Linked DNA regions of Macaca fascicularis. The protein of the gene in region 4 interacts with the protein of the main gene of each other region in a pairwise test. Links are inferred from orthologs where the notes say so. Each region holds a gene or a part of one and is shown on either strand. Other genes may lie near its edges.

Region 1 (4,795 bases), on a different chromosome or scaffold from region 4:
CACCCTCAATTCCTCAAGTCCCTTTCAGCCTTTTAATATCCTCCTCCACAGGTGGCTGCTTCCAGGGGAAAGCCCCATTCATTTCCTTGAATATCATCCCCTGGGACCATGTTCCCTAGTGCGTGGAGACACTACAGGGTCAGCACAGAGACAAGACCCTGTCTTCCACCTATGTGGTGGTAGGAGCAAGTGGCCAACTGGTCCGCTAACATTTCTCCTGATTCCTAGCGCTCATCCCTTACCCTCGGCCTTCGTATCCATCACCAAACAGGGCAGCCCTTTCCAGATCACTAAGGCAACAGCCTGTGGGGCCCAGCCTGACTCCAGCCCCTTCCGCCAATCTGTCTCTAGACTCACCCGGGCATCTGTGACCTTGAACTCTCGCAGGATATACTGAGGCATGTTGTATTCCGCCATCGGATCTACCACAAAGTACTGGTAGCGGGCAGAGCGCTCGGCCGGCCAGTACTGGTGACACTTCTCCTGCAGAGGAGAGGGTGGCCGTGGTCAGTGCTGTCTGAGCCACAGTCTGGTCCTCGCCCTTCCCCGCCGCGGTCCCTGGCTCACCCGGCCCATCTCCCGCAGCTTGGTCAGCATCACCACGATGGTCGAATTGTTCTCCCACAGCATGCGCCAGAAGTCTTCCGTCGTCTCCGCCAGCGGCCCCTGTGTCGCGATGTAGGCCTTTTGCTGCCTGCAGGCATGGGGTGTGTGAGCCCAGGGCTGGCGGGGAGACCCAGCGTGGTCCTCACCTGATGCTGCCCCGGGAGGGTCAGGACCAAGCCGGCAACAGCTACACCCACCACCCCAACTGCCTGCCAGGAATGGATGCCGGGTGCACCACATCCCCTCCTGGTGATCCCGTTTTGCATGCGGGGAAACCACCAGCCTCATGACAAATTCAAATCCCTTGACAAAGCTGTGGGACTGTCCACTAACCTCTCCTGATTTCTCCCCTCCACCTCCTTCAAGGGCCACTGCCCTACTTTCAGCTGCTTCCACGGGCCCGGCTCTCAGCTCCGGGCCCTCGCACGTGTGGCACCCTCTGCCCGGAACGCCCTCCCCTCTCTTGCCAGGATTTCTCAATCTCAGTGCTATTGACATTTGGTACTGGAGTGTTCTCTGGGACAAGCTGTCCTATGTACTGTAGGATGCTGGTGTCCCCAGTCAGTGCCAGTAGTAGTAACCATGACAATAAGAAATATCCCCAGGGTGTCAGAATTACCCCAGTGGAGAACCACTGATATAGAAGAACAGATGGAATCACATTATGGACAGCAGCCATCGGTTAAATATACATCTAAAGATGTGTATTTAAACAGCTCAGGACTGCCAGTATCTTTCCAGCTCTGTCTCCCACAAGACTGGGGGCCTCTTGAAAGCAGAGATGGGGTCCTTCTGGGGCCCCGAGGTGAGAACGGCGTGACACCTACCTGTAGCCATCAATAAAGCTGGCGTTGATGTAGTCAGAGCCCTCCACACCCCGGATGGGCTGCAGACAGACCCGTGTACTCTCATAGGGCATGATGTTCACCAGGCGGTTCTTGAACTTGTTACAAGGCAGATTGGCACTGATGAAGCGTGACGTGTGGGCCTTGGAGTTGGCCAGCCGCTGTGGGGAGGAGGAGGCCAAGGGCCACCATTAGGATGAGGAAGGCTATGCGTTCAGCTGGAGCACCAATGGTGGATAGGTAGGTAGGGGCACCCCGCCGCCACCTTCTAGTCCCCATCGCTCGGGGCGAGCCTGGTTTTTGGCTCTTTGGGCCTCCTCCCCACCCTGCCCACGGCAGCCTCCACCCCGCTGGCACCTTGAACTCGAGTTCCATGCCAGTGACGTGCTCGCCAGGCTCCACCTGGGCCAGCTTCTGGATGTAGGCATAGAGGCTGCGTGCAGGTACTTCTGTGTTGCCACAGCCCACGGCCTCCAGCAGGGCCTCGTGGATGAAGCTGTACTGGTCCTCTGTCTGCACCATGTAGTTGCGCTGGGACCTCATGAGCGTCACGTGGCCATAGACATCGACTGTCTTCTCTGGCTTGATCCGCTCCAGCATGGCGTCGATGACGATAAAGCAGCCTGTGCGGCCCACACCGGCACTGCGGGGACAGCCACGTGGAGTTCAGGGGCTGCTGGGCTGCGGGGGCCGGGGGAAGCAGATGGGGCAGAGCGGGGTGGACGTACCTGCAGTGAACCACGATGGGGCCGGCATCTGGTGGGTTGCAGGTCTTGACTCTCCGCAGGAAAGCCAGGAAGGGCGTTGGGTATTCGGGCACGCCGTGGTCTGGCCATGCCGTAAACTGGAACTGGCGGACCTCGCGTTTCTCACTGGAGCCATTCTGGGGACCACAAGAATGTCACCCGTCACTCTGGCTCACCCTGCCGCCCATGTGCTGAAAATGCCCAAATGGCTGGGCCCGGTGGCTCATGCCTGTAATCCCAGCACTTTGGGAGGCCGAGGTGGGTGGATCACCTGAGGTCAGCAGTTCGAGACTGGCCTGACCAACATGGAGAAACCTTGTCTCGACTAAAAATACAAAATTAGCTGGGCGTGGTGGTGCATGCCTGGAATCCCGGCTACTCGGGAGGCTGAGGCAGGAGAATCGCTTGAACCCAGGAGGTGGAGATTGCGGAGACTGCACCATCGCACTCCAGCCTGGGCAACAAGCGCGAAACTCCATCTAAAAAAAAATGCCCATGTCTGCACCTCCCAGTCTCCACGTCTCTAAGTGCCTGACGTGGGCTCTAGCTGCCCCTGGATGTTTCCAAGTAGAGTCTTGTGGACTCTTCACACAACATGGTCAACTGTATCTGGCCTTCGTCCCAACCCTGCTCCCCCATCTTAGCTGAAGGTGGCTCCAATGGCTCCAACCTTCTGGGCACTCTGGCCACAGATTGAGAGTCACCCTTAACTCTCCCCTCTCACATCTAACACCTCACCCAGGACTGTCGGCTCTGCCTTCAAAGTCTATCCCGATCCACCTGCTCTTCTCCATGGAGGCCAACCTGGGCTAGAACTGTCACCACCCTCTTTGCCCCAGACCTTGGCTCCCACCCAAACCCCTCAGTCTGTCCTCCCTGCAGCAGCCAGAGGGCACCTGAGTGCCTGAGTCAGATCTGGTCCCTCCTCTGTCCACAGCCCTCCATGGCTCCTGCCTTCCACACGGTCGAAGCCCAAGTCTTCCCCAAGGTCCACAGGATCCTGCCCTCCCTGCTGTTCCTCTAACACGCCAGGCACGGTCCTGCCCCAGGGCCTCTGCGTAGGCTACACCCTCTCACCTGAAATGCTCTTCTCCCAAATTTCCCTATCATACCCTCTTCCAGGTCCCTGACACTGTTTTTCTCCCCTATTTTTCTCCAACACGTAAGCTTTCTTGACGTTTCAGTCATGGTCTGTGTCTTGTATACTAGACTGTTAAGTCCCCCAAGGGCAGAACGTTTTATCTGTTTAGGTCCCTGTTGTGTGCTTGTGTCCAGGTTAGCGAGTGAGACATAACACGTGTTTAATGTGTGTGATTGAACCAAGAATTCTCACTCACTCTTGTCCATGTACTCAGTTTTCTGGTACTTAGATCAAGCAGGTGCCTGATGGTGCAATGACCTGGCTGGGTGTTGGGGATACATCATGGTGCCAGTAGCGCCTCCCCTCCCCATTATGACAGTAACAAATGTCCCCTGGATGGCAGAATTGTCCTAATTCAGAACCACAGATGGAGAAAAACAGATGGAACCACACTATGGACAGCAGCCATCAGTTAAATACGTATCTAAAAGATCTTCTCCATCCCAGCCCTGACTTCACAGGGCTGCTAGTATCTGTCCATCTCTGTCTGGACACTCCTTGAAGACAGGGCTGGGGCCCTGCTGAGGCCCCATCATAGGCTCAAGCTGGGTGAGGCCAGAGGACAGTGGGCAAAGAGGACCTGGGGCATGAGTAAAGGCAAGAGGAAATCAGGCTCATTGCTGAGTTGGGCTCTGCCAGCTTTGTCCTGCCGTGGGTGGAAACAAGCAGTGTTCTCTCTGAGCCTCAGTTTCCCCCTCCACGGAAGTGGGTTCCACGAGAATGAAGTCAGTCTGGGTAGACACACTTGGCTTTCTCTCTGTCCTATGGGGAGTGCCCTGGGTAGAAGCTGGGGCCCTCTGCCTCCCTTCCAACACATTCCTCCACCTTCAGCCCCCAGCCCGGGCCTCACCTTGTGCAGAGAGAATGTTCTGACGCAGAACGTGGCCAGCTCGATGGTGTCCAGCAACGTGACCTGGATGAAGCCGTAGGTCTCCGTGCCTCTGTTGGGCCAGTACTGATCACACTTGATCTAGACCAGGCAACAGAATAGGTGTCAGCAAGGGCCAGGCTGGCTGGCGAGGGCTTGAGGGCCGTGGGGTCCAAGGCTCACCCGTGACTTCTCCTCCAGCCGCGTCATCATGACGATGGTGGCCGACCGCTGCTCCCACACCATACGCCAGAAGTCCCCAAAGGTCTCGGGCAGCGGCCCCTGCGTGGCAATGTACGCGTTCTGACGCCGGTAGCCATCCACGTAGTTGGCATTGATGTAATCACTACCCACGATGCCTGCAGCCGGGGCGAGAGGCCAGGGATCTGTGGGGGCTGTCTTGCCAGGCTGGCTCTGTCTGGCCAACCACCTCCTGGAAGTTCACTCTGACTGCTCCCGGATTGTCCCCGAGGTGACCATGGGACGTGTACTTCACAGTTTCTCCCCGTCAGTGCTATCACCATTTGGGGCCAGATTGCTCTCTGTGGTGGGGCCGTTCTGGGCACTACAGGGTGCCGAGCAGCATCCC
Region 2 (5,529 bases), on a different chromosome or scaffold from region 4:
CCGATGTGTAGTATTTTTTTTTTTGAGATGGAATTTTATTCTTGTCGTCCAGGCTGGAGTGCAACGGCATGATCTTGGCTCACTGCAACCTCTGCCTTCCAGATTCAAGTGATTCTCCTGCCTCAGCCTCCCAAGTAGCTGAGATTACAGGGATGTGCCACCACGCCCAGCTAATTTGTATTATTAGTAGAGATGAAGTTTCGCCATGTTGGTCAGGCTGGTCTCGAACTCCTGACCTCATGTGATCTGCCTGTCTCAGCCTCCCAAAGTTCTGGGATTACAGGCGTGAGCCATCGCACCTGGCCCCAGTGTGTAGTCTTTTATCCCTCATTCCCCTCCCATCTTTTCCCTCTGAGTCCGCAAAGTCCATTGTATCATTCTTTTTTTTTTTGAGATGGAGTCTCGCTCTGTGCCCAGGCTGGAGTGCAGTGGCACAATCTCCACTCACTGCAAGCTCCGCCTCCCAGGTTCACGCCATTCTCCTGCCTCAGCGTCCCATATAGCTGGTACAACAGGCGCCCGCCACCACGCCCGGCTAATTTTTGTATTTTTAGTAGAGACGGGGTTTCAGCATGTTAGCCAGGGTGGCCTCGATCTCCTGACCTCGTGATCCGCCCGTCTCGGCCTCCCAAAGTGCTTGGATTACAGCCGTGAGCCACCGCGCCTGGCCCATTGTATCATTCTTATGCCTTTGCATCACAGGTTTATTCTTCTCTTTTTTTTGGAGATGGAGTCTCGTTCTGTCGCCAGGATGGAGTGCAGAGGCACGATCTTGGCTCACTGCAACCTCCACTCACCGGGTTCAAGCGATTCTCCTGCCTCAGCCTCCCGAGTAGCTGGGACTACAGGCGCGCACCACGCGCACCACCATGCCCAGCTAATTTTTGTATTTTTCATAGAGAGGAGGTTTCACCATGTTGGCTGGGATGGCCTCGATTTCTTGACCTCGTGATCTGCCCACCTTGGCCTCCCAACGTGCTGGGATTACAGGCGTGAGCCACCGCACCCTGCCTAATTTTTGTATTTTTACTAGAAATGGGGTTTCACTATGTTGGTCAGGCTGGTCTCAAACTCCTGACCTCGTGATCTGCCCACCTCGGCCTCCCAAAGTGCTGGGATTACAGGTGTGAGTCACCGCACTTGGCCACAGGCTTATTCTTTTTGTCGTCATTGTTGTTGTTTTGAGACAGTCTTGCTCTGTCGCCCAGGCTGGAGTGCAGTGTTGTGATCTCGGCTCACTGCAACCTCTGTCTCCCGGGTTCAAGTGATTCTCCTGCCTCAGCCTCCCAAGTAGCTGGGATTACAGGCGTGCACCACCACACCCAGCTAATTTTTGTATTTTTAATAGAGACAGGGTTTCGCCATGTTGGCCAGGCTGGTCTCGAACCTCTGACCTTAGGTGATCCACCTGCCTCAGCCTCCCAAAGTGTTGGGATTACAGGCGTGAGACACCGTGCCTGCCTGGCTTACATTCTCTCTTAATCCTTTGTTTATACACGTCTGTGATCCACCAGACTGCGAACTCTTTGTGGGCATGAACTGAGTCTTATCCATTAGAACATTGACTTGAGCAGGGTGGCAAGTAAGGGATGGATTTCCTCAGACACTCAACAATGAAGCTGCTTTTCCACTGTGTTCCCAACTGCTGAAATCTAGTTGTTCCCCAATCCCAGTACACTTGCAGTAGGAACGGGGACCCTCTTCCTAAAGTTACACCAAGCCAAGGATTCTCATCTCATTTCGACCAGGTCCTAGCCCTGCCAGGCTTCCCCTTTGCTCCTCTGCAACTCCTGTCTAGGGAGGCGGGTGTCTTGGAAGGTCCTTGGGAGCTCCCTCCATCAATTTTGCATCCGCAATTAGCGTTACTTTACCCCGGTGAAGAAAGGTGCCCTCCGTATTAGGGCTTCCTTCCTCCAATTCCGACTATACAGGGTAGCATAGTAGGCAAAGTGTGAGAGCCCCTTTAGAAGGAAAGAGCAGGGCTCCAAGCGCCGCGAAGAATGGCCGAGGCCGACGCACAGCAGACGCTGGAGTGCAGCAGTCCTAGCCAAGCTTGGGTTTCCCTTATCCCCGCCTCCTTCGCTAAGCTCGACCCACTTTAGGGCGGGACCACCCACTTCAGCCAATTCTGGAAGCCGAACCCTGGCGGTTTGTACTATTTCTTTCCAATAAGAAAAAAAGGAAGCAGCTTGGCTCCAATGACCAATCCGAGGAGGCGGCGCCTGGTTGTCAGGCAGTTTTGTAGGAGTTCGGGCCAATTGGAGGCGCAGGCACCGCTCGACCCGGGCGCTGCGCGCAGGCGGTGGCGAAGAGACGCCGAGCGGGCCGAGTGCGGCCGAGCAAAGCCGGAGCCGGAGCGGGGCCGCAGGAGACGGGCCGGGTCCGGACGGGCCGAGATGCCCTATAAACTGAAAAAGGAGAAGGTGAGCGTGGCCCTTTTTCCCGCACCGCCGCCTTGGAGCCTGCGCGGAGCTCTGGGAGGGGCCGGAGCCAGGCCCGGGACGGCCCCAGACTGACCCTCCCGTCCGGCCCCCGCAGGACTCCTGGGGCCAGCCCTACGCCCCCGCGACTGGCAGCACCCCCAGCTTGTGCCGCAGCTAGGACAGCTCCCCCACCTTGCCCGGAGAGACTCCCCCCACATACACCTCCCTCCCTTCTTCCCTTCTCTTACCCCCGGCCCAGGGTAACCTCCTTCTTCCAGATCTGCCCCATTCCCAGGTCACTGTCCTGCTTTTTCTGTCCCCCCATCACCCCTGGCCCCGATGTCCCATCGGTTTGGGCAGCCCCTCATCTGAAACTGCACGTTCCTCCAGAATTGCCCCCTCCCCCCGCCCTGAGCAGCCCCTTTCCTCTTCCTACCCGCCTGGGACAGCCGCCCCACAGTCCCCTACGGCCCCTTCTCTTTCCATGCCAAGCCCCTGACCTAGAACAGCGCTGCTTTCTCTCTCCTCCACCCAAATCTGGCCTAGGCCCCTCCCTCTAGTTCTTCCTTCACACACAAACTTGTAAGCAGGACTGAGCCCTTCTGTTGATGGAACCTTACAACGACGGTGCTGTAAGGGACCTCTGAGCGCATGCAGTGCAATCCCTAATGGTACAGATGAGGAGACTGAGGCCCCGACAGGGCAAGGGACTTGTCCAAGGTCACACAGACTTCTGGAGGCCCAGCTGCAATATCAGGTCTCCTGACTTAAAGGCCTCTTTTGTATCAAAGCCCTCCTAACTGGCTCCCAGGTGCATCCTAAACCAGTCACCTTTCCAAATCTGAGAAGGCTCCACATCCTTATTCCTAATCCTAGGATAACCTTTGCATTTTTCCTTTTTTTTTTTTGTTTCTTTTTGCACCGGTGCTGAATTTCTGCCTTTCCTGAGCTACACCGTCTTCAAATTGGGAATTTGCGCTCGCTGTCAGATTATTGTTTCTTCTTAGCCTGCAGGCCAGCCACCCCTGAACACCTATGTCTTTGTCATGATGTCCTGACACAGGCCATTTCTTTCTTTCTTTCTTTCTTTCTTTTTTGAGATGGAATTTCGCTTTTGTTGCCCAGGCTGGAGTGCAATGGTGCGCTCTCGGCTCACCACAACCTCTGCCTCCCAGCTTCAAGGGATTCTCCTGCCTCAGCCTCCCAAGTAGCTGGAATTACAGGCATGCACCACCACACCCAGCTAATTTTGTATTTTTAGTAGAGATGGGGCTTCTCCATGTTGGTCAGGCTGGTCTTGAACTCCTGACCTCAGGGGATCTGCCCGCCTTGGCCTGCCAAAGTGCTGGGATTACAGGTGTGAACCCACAGGCCAGTTCTTAAATGTTGCTTTCTTTCACCTTCTTCTTCTACCTTGGTACCGCCTTCCTCTGTTCCTCATCCGTGCCTTTTTCTACCCTCTGTTTCCTGCTGTTGCTGAGGTCTGACTCAGAGGTGTGGTTCCTTTGAGGTACAGACTCACACAAAGGATGCTAGGATACCAGTTCCAGCCTCCCCCAGCTTCTCCTCTCCTGGGGCTGGCCCTTTTTGGTGGGGGCTGGCTCTGGCCTGGTGTTCTGGCCACCTGCTTGATGACCCCAGAGGTATATTGCTTTCATTTGCCCTCTGATTGGCTGGGTTACTGGGCTGCCATCTCTGACCTTTTCAATCATACTTTTTCTCCTGGGGTTGTTCTGTATTTGCCAGGCAGCTCTGATTCTGGGTTGTCCCCTTAACTTTTCAGGGCCTGAGGTTCTACGTACAGGGTTGGTGATGGTGTACCACATGGTGAGCCTTCTGGGGGTAGTGAGCTGGACAGGGTTGTGTGCCCCACCCAGGCCCTGTCCTTGGGGAGTGGGCATGTGGAGGTGGTTTGGGTAGCTCAGTTGTAGACAATGCACACAGAAATCAACCACACCAGGGGCTAAGGGAAATGGAATTCGGAGAAAGCTGGTGAGGTCCCCACCCATTTGTAATTTTTAATCTGTTGGACTAGATACTGTCCCATCCCCAGAAAGCAATAGCCTACTAGTCTGTGAAGAAGACGACAAATTCCCAGTGAGACTTGCTAGGACCATGGGTGTAAGCGTTTGGTTGGGAAAAGGTGTTGGAAGGATTGGGGTGCGTGGAGCCAGGCATAACTCTCACCTCCCTATAAGGTTTTCTGCTCTTGATTTTCAGCTGCATTTGGCCTTCTTCAATGGTTGGCAGGCTCTGAGGGGGGTTGGCAGGCTCTGAGGGGGGTTGACAGTGTGACTGAGGTTTGCCTGGATGCCTGTGGGTGGAGGATCTTTAATGCTCTTCTGTGACCTGTCTCCTCTCTCCTGGCCATCTTTTACAGTTTCCTCTCTAAAGCGTTTCTGAGCCCTCAGTCAGGAGTGAACTCTCCTTTCTTTTCTGGATTTGCAGAGCACTTAGTAGGCCACTTACGGTCCTTTTGTGTTTGGCCTTGGATGGGAATTAATTGTGGACAAGCCTTTTCTTCCTCCTTGAGATAATAACTAAGTTTCATTTTGTTTGGCAACTCCTTTTCACACAGTAAGTAGGTGCTTAGTGGATAGGTGCTAAGATAATCTCTTGGAGGGATTCGCCTCTCTCCCCTTCCTTCATGTTCTCCTCTGGGACTTACCTCTTTTATTTTCCTGAGTAGGGTGCCCCTGCCCCCTCCGACTTTTTTCTTGTTAATAGTAATAGTAATAACATTGACCAGCACTACGGTTTTCATGTGCCTTAACACTGTGCTGAGGGAAGAGGGTACTAATATTGTCGTCATCTAATAGATGAGGAAACTCTCTCTGAGATGAGGCTTAGAGAGTCTAGTTAACTTGTCTATGATTATATAGCTAGTAAGAGTTGGGCCCAAAACACAGGGCTGGGTCCAAACATGTTCGTGTTTTTTTTTTTTGAGACGGAGTCTCGCTCTGTTGCCCAGGCTGGAGTGCAGTGGCACGATCTCGGCTCACTGCAAGCTCCACCTCCCGGGTTCACGCCATTCTCCTGCCTCAGCCTCCTGAGTAGCTGGGACTACAGGTACCTGCCACCACGCCCGGCTAATTTTTTTTATTTT
Region 3 (4,795 bases), on a different chromosome or scaffold from region 4:
CTAGGCCTGGGTGCAGTGGCCCACATAAGTGATTAAAAATCTTCTGGCCACTCTAAAAAGTAAAAAGAAACAGGTGAAATTAATTTTAGTAATATATTTAACCCAACATCCAAAACATTACAATTTCCACATGGAATCAGTGTAAAAAAGCAAGGCTGGGCATGGTGGCTTACGCCTATAATCGCAACACTTTGGGAGGCTGAGGTGGATGGATCACTTGAGGCCAGGAGTTTGGGACCAACCTGGAAAAAGAAACCCCATTCTACTAAAAATACAAAAAATAGCCAAGTGTGCTGGCACATGCCTATAATCCCAGCTACTTAGATGGCTGAGGCACGAGAATTGCTTGCACCCGAGAGGCTGAGGTTGCAGTGAGCCAAGATTGCACCACTGCATTACAGCCTGGGCAACAGAGTGAGACTTGGTGTCAAAAAAAAAAAAAAAAAAAAATGCAGACTTGTGGCATAGAAATACACTTTCTCGGCCGGGCGTGGTGGCTCACACCTATAATCCCAGCACTTTGGGAGGCCGAGGCGGGTGGATCACGAGGTCAGGAGATGGAGACCATCCTGGCTAACACAGTGAAACCCCGTCTCTACCGAAAATAAAAAAAAAAATTAGCCGGGTGTGGTGGTGGGCGCCTGTAGTCCCTAGCTACTCGGGAGGCTGAGGCAGGAGAATGGCGTGAACCTGGGAGGCGGAGCTTGCAGTGAGCCGAGATCGTGCCAACTGCTCTCCAGCCTGACTCCGTCTCAAAAAAAGCAAGACTCCGTCTCAAAAAAAAAAAAAAAGAAATACACTTTCTCAATAATACCTTACGTTAGAGAATGCTGCTTATAACCATTTGACATGTATTAGTTAAGGTGAAGGATAAAGTACTAAGAGAATCCATAATGCACTGGCGTCAGTATTTCTTAATGAAATGACAGTCCCCTGGTAAGTGGAGGAGGCCTGGCTCTGACAAGCAGCTCTTGTCCCAGAGGTTGGTCAGTCAGGAACCTGGGTCCTTCCCATGTTCTGCTGCTTCTATAGTGAGGTCAGTCTGTGGTTACAGCAACTTTAAATACAGCCTTCTAACTTTCCTTTTTATATGTAAAATCTTATCTGTAGTTTCTGGAATGAAATTATTATACATGTACCATTTCGTAACTTATGCCTTTTTTCACTTTACATAACGTTTTTCCCTATCAGTATGTGTAGGGCTATTTTCTCATCATATGGATATATCAGTGCCCTAGTTAAAGCATTTGAGGTTGTTTACAATTTTTCATTATTACATATAGAACTATAGTGAAAATTCTTGTTATATTTATCACTGGTCAGTTATATAGAACTTATCTGTAGGATAAGTAATGGAAGTGAAATGGCTAGGTCACAGTATATGCAGATTTTTCATTTTAATAGATTTTGCTGGATTGCCTTCCAGTAAGGGGGCAGTGTGCCTGCCACATCAAAAGTGTTGAGTGCCTAATTCTACACAACTTCGCAAACCCTGGGTGTTACTAAATTTTAACAGCTTGGTCTCTGGGGGTACAGAGGGGACAAATGCACATTAATCTGAAATCTGGAAGAATAGGCCTTAGGAGATCCGACTTGCTTCAGAACGGCACTTACATGTGTGCATGTGTGCCTGCATTTTTTCTTTTTTTTTTTTTGTGGGGCGGGGGGACAAAGTGTTGCTCTGTGGCCCATCGCCCAGGTGGGAGTACAGTGGCGCAATCTTGGCTCACCACATCCTCCGCCTCCCAGGTTCAAACGACTCCTCTGCCTCAGCCTCACAAGCAGCTGGGACCACAGGTGCACACCATCACGCCCAGCTAATTTTTGTATTTTTAGTAGAGACGAGTTTCACCAATATTGGCAAGGCTGGTCTCGAACTCCTGACCTCGTGATCCACCCACCTCAGCCTCCCAAAGTGCTGGGATTACAGGCGTGAGCCACCGCGCCTGCCATGTACCTGCATTTTTGTAGGGGGAGAATCTCACTTGATGTCACCTGATATACAGGGGGGTCCATTGGAACCCGCATTGCACAACATCCTGGAGCCTGGCTACTCCTCACTTTGGGAGCAGGGAGGGCTGTTGGCAGAGACCATCTGTGGACTAGCTGGGGGACCCTTGTGAGGTAGCAGTGGATGATGGTTCTAGGGCTGACTTCTCTGCCCAGGAAGAAGGTGTGCAGCGGGCCCGGGAGGAGGAGGAGAAGCGCAAGGAGGTGACCTCACACTTCCAGGTGACACTGAATGACATTCAGCTACAGATGGAACAGCACAATGAGCGCAACTCCAAGCTGCGCCAAGAGAACATGGAGCTGGCTGAGAGGCTCAAGAAGCTGATTGAGCAGTATGAGCTGCGAGAGGAGGTAAGGGTATCACAAACAGCAATCATGGCCCAGAAATTGTGAGGTTTTTGAGTGTGTGCTAGGCACTGGGACAGTACCTTTTCAGGCTTCCTCCCATTCTCCCTTTCTTCCTCCTCCTCCTCCTCCTCTTTGGGAGGAGAGTAATGTTATTCCTCATAGATAAAGAACAGGTGGGGAGAAGAGACTGACAGCCACACAGCCCCACGTCCACAGTGCCTTATCCCAAACGACTAGGCCAGGTATCTTTTGGAATTAGAACTATCCACATTTTAGAATGGAGGCACATATGTGGACTGTGTGTTATATAGCACCCTCAGCAGGGCCTTGGGGAAGCCAGACATGTTAATGTTTATGCAGTAGAACTTCCAAATACTCACCTAGATTATGGGCTTACAATGATGCAGGTCAAGTTTGGCTGCCAGCTTATGACAATTTCCATTTTCAGAGCTTTGTAGAATTTGGAATTGCAGAGGAGGGGCTGTGCCTGTGATCAGTGATGGACTCCAGAGACTGTGTCCACTGATTCCTTGCTGCTCCTGCCACTTAAAAGGCAGGATTGGCCGGGCGCGGTGGCTCAAGCCTGTAATCCCAGCACTTTGGGAGGCCGAGACGGGTGGATCACGAGGTCAGGAGATCGAGACCATCCTGGCTAACACGGTGAAACCCTGTCTCTACTAAAAAATACAAAAAAACTAGCCGGGCGAGGTGGCGGGCGCCTGTAGTCCCAGCTACACAGGAGGCTGAGGCAGGAGAATGGCATAAACCCGGGAGGCGGAGCTTGCAGTGAGCTGAGATCGGGCCACTGCACTCCAGCCTGGGCGGCAGAGCGAGACTCCGTCTCAAAAAAAAAAAAAAAAAGGCAGGATTATTAGGCCTGCGTGGTGGCTCATGCCTGTAATCCCAACACTTTTGGAGGCCAGAGCGGGTGGATCACCTCAGGTCAGGAGTTCAACACCAGCCTGGGCAACGTGGTGAAACCCTGTCTCTACTAAAACTACAAAAGAATTAGCCAGGTATGGTGGTGCACGCCTGTAGTCCCAGCTACTCGGGAGGCTGAGGTAGGAGAATTGCTTGAACCCAGGAGGCAGAGGTTGCAATGACCTGAGATTGTGCTACTGCACTCTAGCCTGGGTGACACACCAAGACTCTGTCTCAAAAAAAAAAAGCATGTCATTCCCTTTGTCACTGTTGGCTGCCACGCCAGGCACTTGAATCTTTGGGTCTTCCATCCAGTCACCTGGCTGTTGTGGGCGCGTTCTCATCATGAGAAGGGAGACCTGGAGCCCCCTTACAGGGCTGGCAGAGGACCTGCTCTGGAATAGGCCCTTTCCTAGCCCCTGGGGTGTGGCAGTGGTGAGATGGGCAAGATTTGCCCTCTTAGATTCATAGGCCAGTGTGATGATCGTGTGTGCAGGACCTAGAGGGCACTCCCCTGACCCACCCCTTTCCTTGCCGGACTTCATCCTCTGGGAACAAAGCAGCTTGTTTGGTTTGAGGGGAGTTGGTTTGGTTCTTATCCCTCAGCACTGAGACATAGAGGCTTCCTGGGCCACTATAGTGAGACACGAACTTCAAGAATCTGAATACCCCCGTTTTCTCTCCCCACCAAGGCAGAAAAGGATTTAGTATTACCTGTGGAGAAGGAGTTGCAGGACTACCAGGCCCTGCTGCTTTGCATTTACAGCCCTCCCCAGATAGACACAAGCACTCTCATCATACCCAAACTGGACTTACCTGCAAGGCTCCTTCCCTTCCCCATCCAAAAAAATGGAGTTATTTTCCCTTATTTCAGCAAGTCCAGTTGATTTTACCTTTGAAGTAGCACCTGAATCCTTCACCTTCTCTCCATCCCTTCTCTCTCACCTGACATAAGTCCCCAGTGCTCCTCCAGTAGGCAGGACAGCCATTCCTTAGGGATGCACATGTCTAGTCTTTGCCTAGATATGGCAAGTCTTTGCCTACTGAGCTAGGCTGTCATGTTCTTAGAAGCATTGTTTTTGCCCATTCTTCCCATTTACAAGAGAATCAGGGACACAGAAGTGAGGGCTTCCAACCCCATAGGTGATCAATCCTGGGGTCAGAGATTTGAGTGTGTTTATTGCTTGGCTTCTTGGGAGCAGATTCCATCCATAAACCATGTACTTACCAAAGTCTGACTCACTGGGAGAGAAACGAGGTGAGCTTGGAAAGATGACCTTCCAGAGACTTGGGGCCCATGTTGTGTGGTACACATGGGAGTCCAGCATATCAGATTGAGATGGGGGGCTGGGCAAAGTGCCCTGGTCTTTGGCTGTGGGGCCACCCTGAGAAAAGGAGCTCCTGACAAGCTGACGGCTCCCACCATCTTTGCTGCAGCATATCGACAAAGTCTTCAAACACAAGGACCTACAACAGCAGCTGGTGGATGCCAAGCTCCAGCAGGCCCAGGAGATGC
Region 4 (4,795 bases):
TCTTCATCTGTGCAATTTCTAGGCTGTCTTAATTTGTTCTTATGTTCAGCAAGCAGACGTTGATCCTGGCTGTGCTAGTTCACGTAGGGCGATGTGACTATAGTCTGTTAACTGTGGGAAGGGGCGTTGCTGGCGGTCTTCTCGTTTTCTGACCTGCTCCTTCAAGGAACTCGTGGCATTGAATATTGATGGTCAGACAAATAATCAAGAGTGGAATTTGCTTCTACGTGGGTCATCAGGATCGTATAGTAAAAATATGTCGCAGTATACTCATTGCTGACAAGTATTTCTGCCATTATCACTATGAGAAACTATTTGATCATGGAACAGTGAGGCTGAGTTCTTTCTCAGGTGCCCTTCCTGTCACTTTCTAACCTGCGCTTTGTCCCTTGTCAGGCGCCTCAACCGTGGAACGTCTGCTTTTCAGTGTGATAGTTTGGCATGAGTAATTTCATGTAGGAATTCGCCACAGGAAGAGCATGTGTGTGTGCTGTATCACCTGCTAGGTTCTATTCTTTGGCTATAGCGGGAGATTATGTGGCAGAGATTAACATGCTGAGAATTTTGAAATTCTTTTAAGACCTATCACTTTTATTTTTTATTTTTTATTTTAACTTTTAAGTTTGGGGTACATGCTTAGGTCTGTTACGTAGGTAAACTTGTGTCCTGGGGGTTTGTTGTACAGATTATTTCATCATCCAGGTACCAAGCCTAGTACCCATTCGTTATTTTTCCTGATCCTCTTCTTCCTCCTACCCTCCAGTGTGTGTTGTTCCCCTCTGTGCGTCCCTGTGTTCTCATCATTTAGCTCCCACTTATAAGTGAGAACATGAGGTATGTTGTTTTTCTGTTCCTGTGTTTGCTAAAGATAGTGGCCGCCAGCTCCATCCATGTCTCTGCAAAGGACATGATCTCATTCTGTTTTATGGCTTCATAGTATTCCATGTTGTATATGTACCACATTTTCCTGATCCAGTCCACTATTGATGGGCATTTAGGTTGATTCCATGTCTTTGCTATTGTGAATAGTGCTACAGTGAACATACACATACATGTGTCTATATAATAGAACGATTTATATTCCTTTGGGTATATACCCAGTAATGAGATTTCTGGGTTGGTATTTCCATCTTTAGGTCTTTGAGGAATCTCCACACTGCCTTCCACAATGGTTGAACTAATTTACACTCCCACCAACAGTAGGAAAACATTCCTTTCTGTCCACAACCTCACCAGCATCTGTTACTGACTTTTCCATAATAGCCTTTCTGACTGGTGTGAGATCCTGTGTCATTGTGGTTTTGATTTGCATTTCTCTAATCAGTGATGTTGAGCTTTTTTCCCCTATGACTTTTAGTAGTCACTTTTAATAGTTATCACTTCGCTAACCTTAGTCATTTTATAAATAGGGAACAACTTGAAAATAGTGAATTCTGGGGGTGGAGGACAGGTATTTCACAAGCAAAAAGTTCTGGTCCTAGCCTTAAGTGTTTGATACTGTTTAGTAATCATCTTGCAGACTTCAGGTAGTTGCGTCCAATTAAATTGAACTTGTACTTCTGTTTCCATTTGTCAATATGCCTGAATCTTGTAATTGTATGAGATTTCATCTAACCCTTATCCTAGAAAGTGAGACTTGTATCTCACTACTGTATCCATTGAGAGAGGCCACACCCTGTCCTGTGTAAGACCATTTGTAGCGTGAGGCAGACACAGACTGCGTCGTCTTTGAGGTCACTTTCACCTCCTTGAAAAATATTTAGATATTTGAGTGTATATATGTTTATAATATTATGTAGAAATGGGAAAACTTGGTCAACTGAGTGGCTAGACATAGTATTAAGAGAGACAAGTCTTTGTTAATCGTATAGGTGAATATGATATTTGAGGTAGTTACATTTTCATTCACATTTGAGAAAATTGACGTCGTCTTCAATTTAATTTTGAGGACACTATTTTTTTTTTTTTTTGAGACAGGATCTCTCTCTGTTACCCAGGCTGGAGTGCAGTGGTGCCATCATAGCTCACTGCAGCCTTGAACTGCCGGACTCGAGCAATCCTCCTGCCTCAGCCTCCCAAGTACCTGGGACTACAGGGGCATGCCACCATGCGTGGCTAATTTTTGTTTCTTTAAAATTTTTTTGGCCAGGGATGCTGGCTCACGTCTGTAATCCTAACACTTTGGGAGGCCAAAGGAAGGCCAAGGAGGATCTCTTGAGCCCAGAAATTCAAGACCAGCCTGAGCGACATAGTAAGACCTCTATCTCTACAAAAAATTAAAAATTAGTGGATATAGTGGTATGCGCTTGTAGTCCCAGCTACTGGGAAGATTGAGGTGGAAGGATCCCTTGAGCCTGGGAAGTCAAGGCTGTGGTGAGCCCTGATTGCACCACAGCATTCCAGCCTAGGTGATAGAGGGAGACTGTGTCTCAAAAAATAAAATACAATATTTTTGTAGAGACAAGGTCTTGAACTCCTGGCCTCAAGCCATCCTCCCATCTTAGCGTCCCAATGTACTGTGATTATAGGAGTGAGCTGCTGTATCTGGCCTGAAGATGCTAATTTTTAATTTGATTGGAAATTTGGGATTTAGTTCAGTTTTTTTCTCTCTTAAGTATCTTAATGTGTAATCTGTTAATTACGTACTTTTTTGTCCCCTCTGAAATACTAATTTAGGCCATGGCCCAAAAGGAAGACATGGAAGAGAGAATCACTACTCTTGAAAAACGCTACCTCGCTGCACAGCGTGAAGCCACATCTGTGCATGACCTCAATGATAAACTTGAAAATGAAATTGCAAATAAAGATTCTATGCATCGACAGGTAATGGATTTTATCGATCTTTGTCTGGCTTCAGTTAATTATTAATGAAATTAAAGACCCTTTTTCTCTCACTTTCATGTTGGAAATCAAGTCCAAATATCAAGTTTTTATGACCTTAGAATATTATGTTCAAGATATGTGGGAGTTCCTTCAGTTTACAGGTTTTGATAACGTAGGATTTGATTTAACCATTTTGTCCTCAATTTTTTCTTTTGTTGTAATTGAAAGTTAATCTATTGCTTTTTAGCATTTTTACCAAAGGAGGAGAGAGTGGCAAAGAACTTCAAGGCAACTGGCTATTTGTTACTAAGTGGGAGCACTATGATAAATGAATGGTATGAGAAATAAAGTCTTGGTCAGACGCAGTGGCTCATGCCTGTCATTCTAACACTTTGGGAAGCTGAGGCGGGAAGATCACTTGAGCCCAGGAATGTGAGAACAGTCTGGTCAACATAGCAAGACCCTGTCTCTACAGAAAATTAAAAAAATAAATAATTAGCTCGGCATGGTGGAATGTGCCTTTAGCCCTAGCTACTCAAGAGGCTAAGGAGGGAGGATGACTTGAGCCTTGGAGTTCAAGGCTTCACTGTGCTATGATTGTGCCACTGGACTCCAGCCTGGGCCACAGAACAAGACCCCGTGTCTAAAATAAAAAATGCGGCTGGGCACGGTGGCTCACGCCTGTAATCCCAGCACTTTGGGAGGCCACGGCAGGCGGATCATGAGGTCAGGAGTTTGAGACCAGCCTGACTAACATGGTGAAACCCTGTCTCTACTAAAAATAGAAAAATTAGCTGGGCATAGTGATGCACATCTGTAATCCCAGCTGCTGCTCAGGAGGCTGAGGCAGGAGAATCGCTTGAACCTGAGAGGCAGAGATTGCAGTGAGCCAAGATTGCACCACTGCACTCCAGCCTGGGCGACACAGCTAGACTCCGTCTCAAAAAAAAAAAAGGCAATGAAGTCTATAGTAAGAAATTGTGTCTCCTGTGGTTTCGTTAAACCATACTTACTCTTGTAAGAGTATCACTGTACTCCAGCCTGGGTGACAGAGCGAGACTCTGTCTTTAAACAAAAAAAAAAAGTTTCTTAGAAGTTATTTAGGAAGAGCAAATACTTTGGCAAGAGGTGTTTTGCACATTGAAACGAAGCCCAGGAAAGTGGGCATGTACTCCAGGCAACAGGAAAATTTGACCCAGGCCAGGCACAGTGGCACACACGTGTAATCCCACCACTTTGGGAGGCTGAGGCAGTTGGATCACTTGAGGTTAGGAGTTCACGACCAGCCTGGCCAACATGCCAAAGCCCTGTCTCTACTAAAAATACAAAAATTAGCCAGGTGTGGTGGCACATGCCTATAATTGCGGCTACTCAGGAGGCTGAGGCAGGAGAATTGCTTGAACTCGGGAGGTAGAGGTTGCAGTGAGCCGAGACTGTGCCACTGCACTCCAGCCTGGGTGACAAAGCAAGACTATCTCAAAACACACACACACACACACACACACACACACACACACACACACACACACCAACACACACACACACACACACCACACACACACACACACACACACCTGACCCAGAAGCAACCCCCATCACTGTAGCTCTTCCATCATGACTCTCTTAGTCTGTATCTGCATTTCAGTTTGTTTCAATCTGCTAAAAACTGATACAGCTAGAAGATTTGCTGCATTTTGATGCTTTGCTCTCATTTTATAGACTGAAGATAAAAACCGCCAGTTACAGGAGCGCTTGGAATTGGCAGAGCAAAAGCTGCAGCAGACACTGAGGAAGGCAGAGACGCTCCCTGAGGTGGAGGCGGAGCTGGCCCAGAGGGTGGCAGCGCTTTCCAAGGTAGTGCCATGAGCTTTGTTCTGGTTCGGCTGCCAGGCCTGTGACTGTGCCTTGCCTGTGTACCTTGTTTGTCACTGTTCTTATTACATCAGCACCTAAATCCATGGAAGAGCACAGA
Region 5 (5,548 bases), on a different chromosome or scaffold from region 4:
CTGGGTGACAGAGCAAGACTTTGTCTCAAAAAAGAAGAAGAAGAAAAAAACCTAATGGAGGTGTGAGTGGGGGTAGAGGGGAATTGGCCATGTATTGATAATTTTTGAAATATATTTCTCTGTATTCTTTATATTTGAAATTTTCCATAAATAAAGTAAGTAAAAATAATAGAAGTGAAGAGAAACACCTGCTGCTTTTTAGTTGAAACTAGAAATGGAAATAGGTAAATGCACAAGTTCTACATTCCAGTGTGCCTCCTGTGGTAGCAATAGCAAAGAAACACTTTCGCACATCAGGCTAAGTAGGAGACCATCACAGCATCCAGTCTGCTTACTTTAATAAAAAAAATCATACATGAGCCTTAATGTTAGGGCATCAGCAACAATTGTATTCTGCAGACAGTTAATTTAGACACAGCCCAATTCCTACTACAACTGAAAAATAAGATCAATGTCAATTTTCATGAACTAAAATTTGTTCAAGGTTTAAAAAAAGTTACACCAGCAATGCCAAGTTTTTCATATATTTTTCCTAAGTGACATTCAGAAATTTTACTCATATCCCTGTAGAAATCATAGTCTGCCAACTCTTTTAAATGCCTATTTCTATTTTCCTTTACATAAAACTAAGGAGTTGTCAAATATCTTTCAGAAAAACAAAATGAAAAGAATTTATATGATATATATAACTGTCATGAGTCTAATACTTTATATAGACATTTAATTATCTAGATCACTTATTTTCCTATCTTTTGTACCATTAATGTTTTTCTCCATTAAATTATTCTTTCCCCCATATGCAACATTTTAGGTTGTTCACAATTCGTTGTTATCAATTTGCCATGCCCTTCAATCTTCTCTTTCTCTTTTTCTCTCTTAGCCAATTTACGACACCAGATTAGCCACATATGTTGAGTGTGTGGATCGCCAAAATTATAAACCACAAATGGCATAAGTTTGAGGAATTCAAATAACTCTGGCAAACTCTAACCTCAACTGCACCCAACAAAAATGAACAAGAAAAGACTTTCCCTATCTTAAGCCTCTAAAAACATTTTCATAGAAAGCAGAGTTAAAGCCATCCTGCCACTTCTTTTTAGGCTTTTCAAGACCTAAATTCTCTAGGTCTCATCATCTTTCTCTTTCTATTTATTTATTTATTTAGAAAAGCTATTTGCCATAGGGAAATTTGGATATATAATAAATACATGAGAGAATAAGGTATGCCTAAATGGGACACTTCAGAATCAACATAAATTTTGGATCTCACCTGCAATTTTGAAAGTCCTATTAATTTAAAAACTAGTAAATACCTTAATATTCATGATAGCTTACTGTAAGATTCCCTAGAGGCAATGAAGATGGGAATCTCAAGAAAACTAAAACTACCATACATCTTGGCTTCAGAGGTGAAAATAGGGGGAGAGGATTGGCTAGTTATCAACAGAAGGGAAAGTGCTTTTTGCACAGAGAAAGAATAGACAAGGCAACAAAAGTGGCAAACTGTAAGGGCCAATACACATCCACTGCTTCAAGTTTTTCAGCCATGTTCCATTCTCAGAGATTTCTGGTAGTACTTCAAGAACACCGATCTCCAAACTCCTCCTGAAAAGGGCTAGGAATGCTTCTGCCTGAAGATCTTACCTATTCTTTCTGGGCCCCATGATCTCCCTACATGATTGATCAACCTACTATTTCAACTCGAAAAAGCCTTTTCACAAATGTCAACTTCAGTGAGGCCTCCATTTAAAAATGAACACCCTACCAAGTCCTTTCCTAATTTCTGATTACACCCTGTGAATTTACATCAACCTACCCCACACCCTCAGTTTATGCCTCTTTTGAACATTCCTGCCGGGCTTCTCCTTTAAATCTTGCCTGGAAGGGGCGGAGCTATGTCCCAGGCTCACCGGGAGGAGCGTTCCGTAGGCTCCGCCCACCTACGTCTCAGAGGGCGCCCCAACGAACCCTGGATAAGGTCTCTTCCTAGTCCGCTCCGGAAATGCGACTGCGTACGCGCTGGACACGCAGTCGTGACGTCAGCGCGCCCGCGCCGGCTGGCCGGACGCCCTAGGCTTCCGCGAGATCTTAGGTGGGGGTTCGGTTGCTTTACGCCACGGCACTGCTGCGGTTGGGTTGTCACCTGTAGGCTGTCTGGACCTGGTCACGATTCCACAATGTACCACAACAGTAGCCAGAAGCGGCACTGGACTTTCTCCAGTGAGGAGCAGCTGGCAAGACTGCGGGCCGACGCCAACCGCAAATTCAGATGCAAAGCGGTGGCCAACGGGAAGGTGAGGTTTTCCCGACGGTTGCCCAGTTGCTTGGTCACTAAATTCTGAGCAGCTGCGGGAGCTCTTCTGGCTCCCAGGACAGTCTCACTCCCTCATTTCTCTGCCTCTGCGGCGCGGAGTGCGTTTATCTATTAAAATAAGCGAGCACCTCGCGAGGTTCCGTGGGTACAAAGACGAACAACGCCATCCCCGTGGTCGAATGGCAGACAAGTAACCAGTCTTTGTAACGTGGTGAAGAAGAGAGTAGGTAGTGTGCTAAGGTAGTGCGTGGCAAGAGCCGTTCACTTGTCAAGCGGTGATGTTGGGGAAGGTTTTTCCCAGTAGCCAATGCGGAGAAAATGGGGAAAGGACGTTCCAGGCAGTCAGAACTACCGTGCAGAGTGGGAGGGAGGTCAGAAGTTACAGGGCTGGTGCGTGGACGTGTTTGTGGTCGTATGTGGCCGAATGTGAGTACCTGTACAGGAATGGCTGGGGAGGGTAGGAAGGGAACTTGTTTGTAAGTGGAAGTGAGGCGTTTGAAATTTCCATTGAAAGGATGAGGAACCTTTGAAATATTTAAAATGGGAAGCTAACCTTATCAGATTTCCGTTCTGGAAACAGCGCTCTAGCAACCTCGTGGTGAATGGGTTGGATGAGGCGGGAGACCGGCGACGGAATACAAACCAAGTGACTAAAGATAAGGTTTGGACTGTGGCCCGCTAGCCAAGTCCCTTCTGTTACAGCTCTAGGACTGGTTTAATCTTTCTTACAAGCTCCACTCCAGCAAGTGTTCAGTGCCTCCAAATTACTGACACTGAATTACTTTACTTTCTACCTTTAATTCACATCACTGATTTTAGCACCTGAATTAGTTTCCTTAAGGGCTGCCTTAAAAAAATCACCACAGACTGGGTAGCTTAAAATAACAGAAATTTATTGAAACATTTGCTGTTTTTTTACAACTTGTGTCGTAATGACTGACCGAGAAACGAATGTTGGAAGCTTTCCAATCATATTTGTAAAAAGTCTATCTACTTTTAAATTTGTAAATAATGATATCACAGCTGTGAGCATATGCACATAGCCTATCGTGATTGTTTATATAATGAAGCAAAGGTCTAGCTGACATTCCGAAAAGTTGTGAAATGATGGTACAGTTTTAGTTTATTGTTTTCCTACAGCTATTTTGTGTAATGATTAGCGAATCTATAAAGAAAACGAGGCGTGATATATTCCCCTTCGTTGGAGATATAAACTAAATTTAATCTGGATAGAGAAAAATGTTTTACAATTGTTTAATTCATTGAATTCATTGAACTTGTGTTGTAATTGTTGATCTAAAGGTTCTTCCGAATGATCCAGTCTTTCTTGAGCCTCATGAAGAAATGACACTCTGCAAATACTATGAGAAAAGGTTATTGGAATTCTGTTCGGTGTTTAAGCCAGCAATGCCAAGGTCTGTTGTGGTAAGTTACAGTAGTGATGAAATATAATGTCCTTTAGTTGACTTGTGAAATTTGACCTCTTCTAAATTCCCTGTCCACTCTAGTCTTAAAAATTCACGTTAGTTACAATTAATTAGTTTTTGGCACATTATATCTTTTTCAGTTCAGGCCTTAACTCTTGAATTGCTGTATCATATCTTCAAAAGTATTTCAAGTCTCATTTTGTGGTCAGAAAAAAATTTGAGGTCAGGTAATGTTATAAAGAAAGAAACAAAATAAATTACTTTCCTCTAAGTTCTCAACTAGTGAGCCATAGAACTGGGACTAGAACATAGACTACTTGCTTTTCCAACTCTGTGACACCCAATAAATGTTTGAAGTAATGCATTCTTTCATAATTGGTAATCATATGCCCCAGCTGAAACTGATACCATAAGATTTTTTTAAGCCTTAATTAGTAGAAGCTGGAGTTTTATCTTTGGTTAAAAAAGATTGTCTTATTGCTTCAGATGTATGGTTCTGAGGACCTGTTTGTTTTTTGCTGGGGTGGGCAACCGTGAGGAGAAACAGGTAGCTGAGATTAAAAAGCAGAAAGATAAAAAAGCTAGAGTGGGAGGGTGTTTAAAATGTCTTTACGTTATTCTCTCACAGGTTTGTTGCAAAGAACAAATATAGAAGTGTATCTTAAGTAAAAGACTGTTAAATTTTAAAGTTATACAGTGTGACTAGCTTACGACCGAGTAGAGAATAATCTTCTGGGAAATTATCTCCATTTTTATAGTTGAAAAAAATTTGAAGTATGTTGAAAATATTAAGTCCATAGAATTTATAATTTTTTTTTCATCTGAGATATCAAAGATTCAGAGAGAGTTTTAGGTATACTTGATTAGTTTATATCTTCAGATTTGGTTTATTCTTACAAAAGAACTAAAATGAGGCAGTAAATTTAAGTGATCTTATCAAATGAAGAAAAAAATCCTTTAATGAACTTCTTTATGGAATTTATTTTTAAATAACATGTTTATCATTGGTGAATAATTTTTTGTTATACATAATGACAAAACTAAACTTTTAAAATACTTAAAAGGAAATATTCTTTTTTCTATCATAAAATAGATTAGTGGTTATTTCATTGGTTCCAGCCAAATGATATAATGGTTAAAAGTACAGGCAGGTCTTACTTGAATTCATTCCTGTTCCTTATTAGCTGTGTGACCTAGATAAGTCAGTTCACCTCATTGATACTCAGTTTCCTTCTCTGTAGAGATAGCAATATTTCACCAAGCTGTTGTAAGGGTTAAAACATGATGATAGTTTTGTGCTTATCACAGAGTCTGGCACTTGGTATGCATTCAGTAAATGGTAGTGCTGTTTCTGCCATTCAGTTGGCAGCAGTGATCACAAATCATGGGAATGGATACAAAACAATATCACAAATATGTAGTGGCTTTAGAGAGAAGGCTTATTGCCTTGCTCATTATTTTTATAAGATTGGTTAATCTGTGAACATTTGTATTTTTCTTCCTGAATTTATCTAATTCAGGACATTTTTGATACTCTGACTTCTAAAACATACACACTCACGTATTTTTAAATCCAGTGACCATAGGAAGGATTAGCCAGGGTAGGCTAGGGATAGACAAGCAAAGGATGGGAAAGGATCTTTTGGCTATGGCATTTCTGTAGTAATTCATCACAATTTATTTTGATTAAAGAAGAATTAATGAGTATTAGTATTTTTCTGGGTAATCTCTACAAAGAAACCTTTCCATAAATAAGTTCTGTTTCACACAATTTAACATTTAACATTTGTGAATAGATCCTGATGAT
Region 6 (5,512 bases), on a different chromosome or scaffold from region 4:
TCGCAGGCAGAGGGATACATTTCTTTCCCACAAAAGTAACAGCAAAGGAATATTAGGGGTTTTAAAACTTTCTGTTTCTCTAACATGCAACTTTGGATGATGAAAGTGGGATTGCCAGTTTATGGGGGCGCATGTGGCAATGAGAAAGCCAAGTTGGAGTTTACATCTTGGGTGGAATCACCTGTGGGGAGGCTGAGATTTCTGGATCCATCCTTAGGTCACAGGGGGCAGGTGTCCATCATCCCTGCACAGCTTTTCAACTGCTGTGAAATCAGAATGATTGGAGGGTAAACCTAGCTTGGAGGCTTGCACAGGAATTGATTTCTTCCTGATTTTCACTATGACGCTAACCATAAAAAAACAAAAACAAAAAACCAAGAGACAATCATGCAAGGATGCTCCTCCCCCACCCCCAAATTGCTAGAAAACTGAACTTCGTTTAGCGAGATTCTTTTCAAAAATATGTGACTTATTTTTGGAGTACATAGGGGGCAGAGGATTACTGACCAATCCTTTGGTGGCTTTCAACAGCACAGCATGCAGATGGTGGAAATAAATGGGCAGCTTGAGAAAACAGTCAGGATGCTGGATCATTAAGTCAAATCTAAGGGGGTCTGTTTACGTTTGCTCTTTCAAAGACAGCCTGGAGTCTACAGGAATAAGTATTGTGTGTATGTGCTGGCCTGAACATAGAATGAGCAATCGAGGTGGCTGGTGAGCTCTAGCTTTACTTTATTTAACCGTTCTGACCAAGTTTCTAATAAATTTTGATGGGCCAACTGCCAATGGTGGCTTCCAGCTGCTGACTTTTTCCACATGTTGGAGATCCTGTGAGTAGCGAAGAAGGTTAAAATCCATCTCTTAGCTAACAACACACACAGTGCACCTTAGTCACCTTGGGTTGTGTGGATGAGAAGTGCATAGCCCAACAACTGGGTGCTTGTCTAGGGAAGAGGGTGTTATAGTGTCCTTCAGAGAAGCTGAGGAGCACTGCATTTCCAACATCATAAAAGCAAGTGGCACGATAGCAAAACAAGTTATCACACTAAGATTTTGGTTCAATACTTCCCTGCCTTCCTCGTTGCCTTCAAAGTGGATCCTACAAGCATTCCCGAAGGAGGCTGCCAAGGTGAACTGGGGCGGACACAAACTGTGTTTCATTAAAGCACGTTCCTTATATTATTATCACTGCTGTGAAGAGGGCGCGACCAGCATTTTTTCCTCCTTTGCGCTGGGACGCAGAGCAGGAAGCGCCCGGGTGTGCATCTCTTAGGAGATGAGTGAATCTGTTAGAGAGGGTCTTTTCTGGCCTGGTGGATGAATGCTGGGGAGTGACGTCACCCCGCCCCCTCCTCTGGTGGGTGTGTGTGTGTGTGTGTGTGTGTGTGTGTGTGTGTGTGTGTTTGTGTTGCCTCCTTCACCCACCACTCCTGCCTGCCCCTCCTTCATCCAGCTCTCTGGCCCTTTCAGTGGGTCAGTGGTCCAGATTCAGGGATTCGCCAGCAGGCGCAGCAGGCCCAGCTCTCCCCGCGTCCGGGCGCACCCACACTCACACTCACGCGCAGGCAACGCGCACACACAATCCCCCAGCGCTGGAGCACAGCAATACCGTGGGATCCCCAGCACGTTACGAGGATTTTAGAAATCACCCAGACAAGGAAACAAAGAGAGAAGCCTTTCCAATTACTTTCCTGGGCTTTTTTGTTTAATTTCCCCCACCAAACCACCTCGTCTGCAGCCGTAACTACCAGGTTCACGCCAGGTCCAAAGACTGGGCTGGGCTGGCCACCCCACCTCCCGGCCCTTGACTCTGTTCGGGCCCTTTCCCAGGCGTCGCCTCGCACCCCTCTCCCCCCACGAGCCTCAGTTTCTGATTACCTCGCGTGCGCTTCACTTTTGGGGGGAAGAAGAGAAGAAGGGGAGGGAGGCACCGAGGGGGGCAGCCGAGTTGCTATTTGTGGCCAAAGAATCCGCTTTAAAAGAAGAGGCAGCAGGAAGGAGGAAACAGGAGAGGCGGAGGGAGGAGAGGAGACGCGGCCCCGGACCCCCCAGCCGCGAGCGGCGGAGCATCGAGGAGCGGGAGGAGGAGGAAAAGGAGGAGGAGGAGGGAGAGGAGACAAACGGCGGCGGCGGCGGCGGCGGCGGCAGCGGCAGCGAGAGAAACGGGCGCCGGGCGAGCAGGAGGAGCGAGAGGAGGAGAAACCGCCGCGGAAGCCGCGGGCTCAGAAGGGCCAAGAGGACGGCCCGAGAAGAGGAGGAGGAGGCGGAGGAGGAGGAAAAGGGGGTAGGGGTGGAGGGAGGGCGGGGGGACGCGCTCCCTTGGATGCTGGATTTCGGGTTTTTGGACTCACTCGCTGACTCTCTTCCACTTCCTCGCTCTGGACTGGGCTGGCCGCACGAGGGCTGGGCGGCGGCGGCGACCAGAGGGGCTTCCGCGGCAGCGGCCGCTGCTCCGCGGGATTAAATTGGCCGCCCGGAGGCGGCGGCGCGGGCCGGCGCCGGCTGCGCGGCCGTGGCAGGGCGCGAAGGCGCTGGAGGAAAGTGCTGGTGGCGGCGCGGGAGGCGGTGGCGGCTGCTGCCCAGAGCCAACATGACCAGGTAAGTCCCTGGAACTGACCCCGTCCGCCCCGCTGTGTTCTCCCCTCTGGCTGCTCGGGAATCGCCCTGCGCGCAGCTCCGGCTGCCGGCGCCTCCCCGGCCAGAGCGACACGCTCCCGCTTCCGCGAGCCCGGCGCCCGGGCAGCGGAGCGCACAGTTTGCTCCTCTGAACCTCCTCGGGCAGAGGTCCTCCCCTGCAGGGTTCACTTCTCGCCTGAAACCTTAGACCCGGGAGAGAGGCGACTCTAGAGAATGAGGGTGTCCGGGTATGTGTATTTGTGCGACCCCCGCTTTCTCCTCCTAGGGTGGGCGTAGTATTTGGGGGGGAATGGTGGAGCAGTGGGGCAATGCACCCTTACCCAGGGATCCTGCCACCGCCTTTTTTAAAGGCAAGGATTACTGTTTTAAGGAGGGCTGATTACGGTGAGGGGGCGATTTCTTTTTCTTTCTTTCCTCTGAACTAGTGGGGAGAAGGAGAAATAACAGGAATCAAAGTCTACGCAGCTGCCATAGAGGAGGGGGATTGTTTGGGAGACCTTTCCGTGGCAGAATCAAAGCTCGTAGTTCAGCTGCGGGAATCTGGTGCACTTAACACACACATTCATTCCGTAGGGAAGGGGACGCATCATTTGTAATGAAGAGGCAAAGTTGTAGGAAACAATTTAAAAAGAAAGCCACGAACAAACCAAAGATTTTTTGCTTTCCTATAGATTTATTGTAGCTTTTATGTAGGTGTGTAGAAAACTTGCATTGCTTCTCTGGACGTTGAATTTCATTTAAAAACACAAACATGTGAAGTCAGTTTTTAAGTCTTATGCTTAAAATCTCGAACACCAAGTGTGAGCTTGGCTTTCACTAATTGGGTGTTTCAGAATTCCAGATAGTAGTTCCATTCTCCAAAACCAGGACTATCACAATCCACTTGTATTGTTTCCAGTTCGCCTCCCAGTACACTACTTGCCAAATGTCTCTTGTTTTCTAAAATTCTCAGAGTAACCCCCCAGCCTCATCTACAGTTTGCACCTTAAGTATCTAGGAAGATTCCTGAGGGATCGTTCTCCTTGTATTTCCTATTAAAGTTATATATATATATACACATGTATTTACATGCCCAAAGACACAGTGCCAGTGACTTAACAGAGTGTAGCTAACACATTTTGAACCTCTGAAAGGCTAGTAACTGCTTATGACTTGAGATAGATTTGCTGTTAGATTTACTGAGCTACAAATGTGGACTTTACCCTTTGGTGTGTTCTTTTCTAACCATCCTGTAGCACGTCTGTGGGGAGTTAGTTCAATCACAGATACTTCTGACCATTTTGAGTATTTTTTCTCTGTTTCAAAGTGCACACACCAACCACTCAACTTGAGTAAAACAAGGATGATATACCAAGACTTGAAACATTCTGATGTAAAGGGATCTGTAGATGATAATAACTTAAGATTAAGTTGTATATGTAATATAATAATATCCAGTAAAAGGCTTAGTATCTTTCTTACTTTGAATATATATTCTGTTTTATGCTACAGACACTATAGCAAAAAGAGAACACATTTTCAGTGCTCCGTGTCTGACTTACGGAAACAGACATCCTAAATGGACAGTAAAATTTTCCCTACCTCCCACATTCCATAATTATGTACTGTACTTTGCTTTTCAATGGAGCTAGCAATTCTGTGGCAGATTTCTTAAATTCACCCTCATGCTATCAGCTATTATTGTACTTTCAAAGTGTGAAATTGACAAGCTGGTCAGTTTCATGAATTCAGCTGTCAGATTGTGTCCAGTTAAAAATTGCTAAAAGCTGTAAATGTGCCTGCCTGGAATTTTCTTTTGTGAAGGAAGGACAGCAAGGGGATGGGGGATTAATGGGTGTTATTAATTGTAGATCTTTTAAAATAGGTGCACTCCAATGTGAGTTGTATCACTGGCTGTTATTGGGAAATACGTTTAGATTTTTACTCCTGTAAAAGTGGCATTCAATTTTTATCTGTATCTTATTTTAAATAGTACTTTACACAGAAATCATCTGTTCTTATAGCGCTTAGTAATATATAATAGGAATAAGATTCAAAGAGGAACAGTGTCTCTCTCAAATATATTTTAATATAGTTGAGTAATGTATTACTTTTGCATGACATGTAAAGAGGTGGATGAATTAAACGTTTCATTGTGTAGGTTATGTAACACAGATTCTTCTTGGGCCAGAGCAGTTGTGCAGTTACTCAAGTAATGAAATGCAGCAATTTATTTTAATATATGTGCATTAGAGTAGATAACCATAGATGTAAAACTGCTTAAAGTATTAAATACAGTGATTTGATTTGCCTTTTAAGATGGACTCTTATTTAAATCCAGAATATCTCAAAGTCTGGAACTAAGAATTGGAATCCCCTCATCTGCTGCTATTTGCTAAGCCACTAGGGGCCTGTATAACTGTTCTTATATCCAGGAGGTATCCTGGTATGGCATATGCAAAGCCTTCCTAGAGAGACATTAAAAAAAAAAAAATCACGTAGGCATTCCCCCCAAGTTTTTGTTTTTTCCTTTTTAATACATTAACTCATACTCTGATGCTAGTTGTAGACAATGATTGAAGACTATTTCAAGAATTTTATTTAGGGCTTCTCTGACACTATGATTTTCATATAGAGTGTGAAAAATAGAAAAGAGAAAAGGTATTGGTGCAAATTCATATGTGATTCCAGTTCTCAGTGTATGGCAAAGATAAACAAGAAGGAACATTAATAACTTTTCTTTATTGGACTGATAAGGATGTCATTTGCATAATGTAGGGTTAAAAGATAAATGAAGCAGAATTACTTTAAGGGAAGTATAGGCATAGATTGATGATGTGATTAAACTAGCTTTGTAAGCGCTGTACAAGTTTGTATGGAAAGAGAATCTGAGGCT

Evidence for each region.
Region 1: the proteins of PPFIA1 (region 4) and PTPRS interact in a two-hybrid assay, tested with the Homo sapiens proteins (2 studies listed by BioGRID). The link is inferred for Macaca fascicularis from reciprocal best matches to the Homo sapiens genes PPFIA1 and PTPRS.
Region 2: the proteins of PPFIA1 (region 4) and PPP2R5D interact in binary tests that used the Homo sapiens proteins (3 or more experiments, as listed by UniProt). The link is inferred for Macaca fascicularis from reciprocal best matches to the Homo sapiens genes PPFIA1 and PPP2R5D.
Region 3: the proteins of PPFIA1 (region 4) and TXLNA interact in binary tests that used the Homo sapiens proteins (3 or more experiments, as listed by UniProt). The link is inferred for Macaca fascicularis from reciprocal best matches to the Homo sapiens genes PPFIA1 and TXLNA.
Region 5: the proteins of PPFIA1 (region 4) and CCNH interact in binary tests that used the Homo sapiens proteins (3 or more experiments, as listed by UniProt). The link is inferred for Macaca fascicularis from reciprocal best matches to the Homo sapiens genes PPFIA1 and CCNH.
Region 6: the proteins of PPFIA1 (region 4) and PTPRD interact in a two-hybrid assay, tested with the Homo sapiens proteins (2 studies listed by BioGRID). The link is inferred for Macaca fascicularis from reciprocal best matches to the Homo sapiens genes PPFIA1 and PTPRD.

The regions. Positions count from the first base shown.
Region 1 is NC_088393.1:5,985,491-5,990,285, forward strand, and holds part of PTPRS (receptor-type tyrosine-protein phosphatase S), read right to left. Parts: intron 4,566-4,795; coding exon 4,390-4,565; intron 4,309-4,389; coding exon 4,189-4,308; intron 2,335-4,188; coding exon 2,180-2,334; intron 2,095-2,179; coding exon 1,809-2,094; intron 1,613-1,808; coding exon 1,434-1,612; intron 695-1,433; coding exon 568-694; intron 484-567; coding exon 358-483; intron 1-357. UniProt on the Homo sapiens protein: Cell surface receptor that binds to glycosaminoglycans, including chondroitin sulfate proteoglycans and heparan sulfate proteoglycan.
Region 2 is NC_088378.1:128,544,285-128,549,813, reverse strand, and holds the start of PPP2R5D (serine/threonine-protein phosphatase 2A 56 kDa regulatory subunit delta isoform), read left to right. Parts: upstream 1-2,307; 5' UTR 2,308-2,396; coding exon 2,397-2,423; intron 2,424-5,529. UniProt on the Homo sapiens protein: The B regulatory subunit might modulate substrate selectivity and catalytic activity, and might also direct the localization of the catalytic enzyme to a particular subcellular compartment.
Region 3 is NC_088375.1:202,838,003-202,842,797, reverse strand, and holds part of TXLNA (alpha-taxilin), read left to right. Parts: intron 1-2,166; coding exon 2,167-2,361; intron 2,362-4,716; coding exon 4,717-4,795. UniProt on the Homo sapiens protein: May be involved in intracellular vesicle traffic and potentially in calcium-dependent exocytosis in neuroendocrine cells.
Region 4 is NC_088388.1:4,341,369-4,346,163, reverse strand, and holds part of PPFIA1 (liprin-alpha-1), read left to right. Parts: intron 1-2,676; coding exon 2,677-2,823; intron 2,824-4,542; coding exon 4,543-4,677; intron 4,678-4,795. UniProt on the Homo sapiens protein: May regulate the disassembly of focal adhesions. May localize receptor-like tyrosine phosphatases type 2A at specific sites on the plasma membrane, possibly regulating their interaction with the extracellular environment and their association with substrates.
Region 5 is NC_088380.1:91,395,101-91,400,648, reverse strand, and holds the start of CCNH (cyclin-H), read left to right. Parts: upstream 1-2,067; 5' UTR 2,068-2,177; coding exon 2,178-2,294; intron 2,295-3,616; coding exon 3,617-3,739; intron 3,740-5,548. UniProt on the Homo sapiens protein: Regulates CDK7, the catalytic subunit of the CDK-activating kinase (CAK) enzymatic complex. CAK activates the cyclin-associated kinases CDK1, CDK2, CDK4 and CDK6 by threonine phosphorylation.
Region 6 is NC_088389.1:90,156,535-90,162,046, forward strand, and holds the start of PTPRD (receptor-type tyrosine-protein phosphatase delta), read left to right. Parts: upstream 1-2,006; 5' UTR 2,007-2,598; intron 2,599-5,512.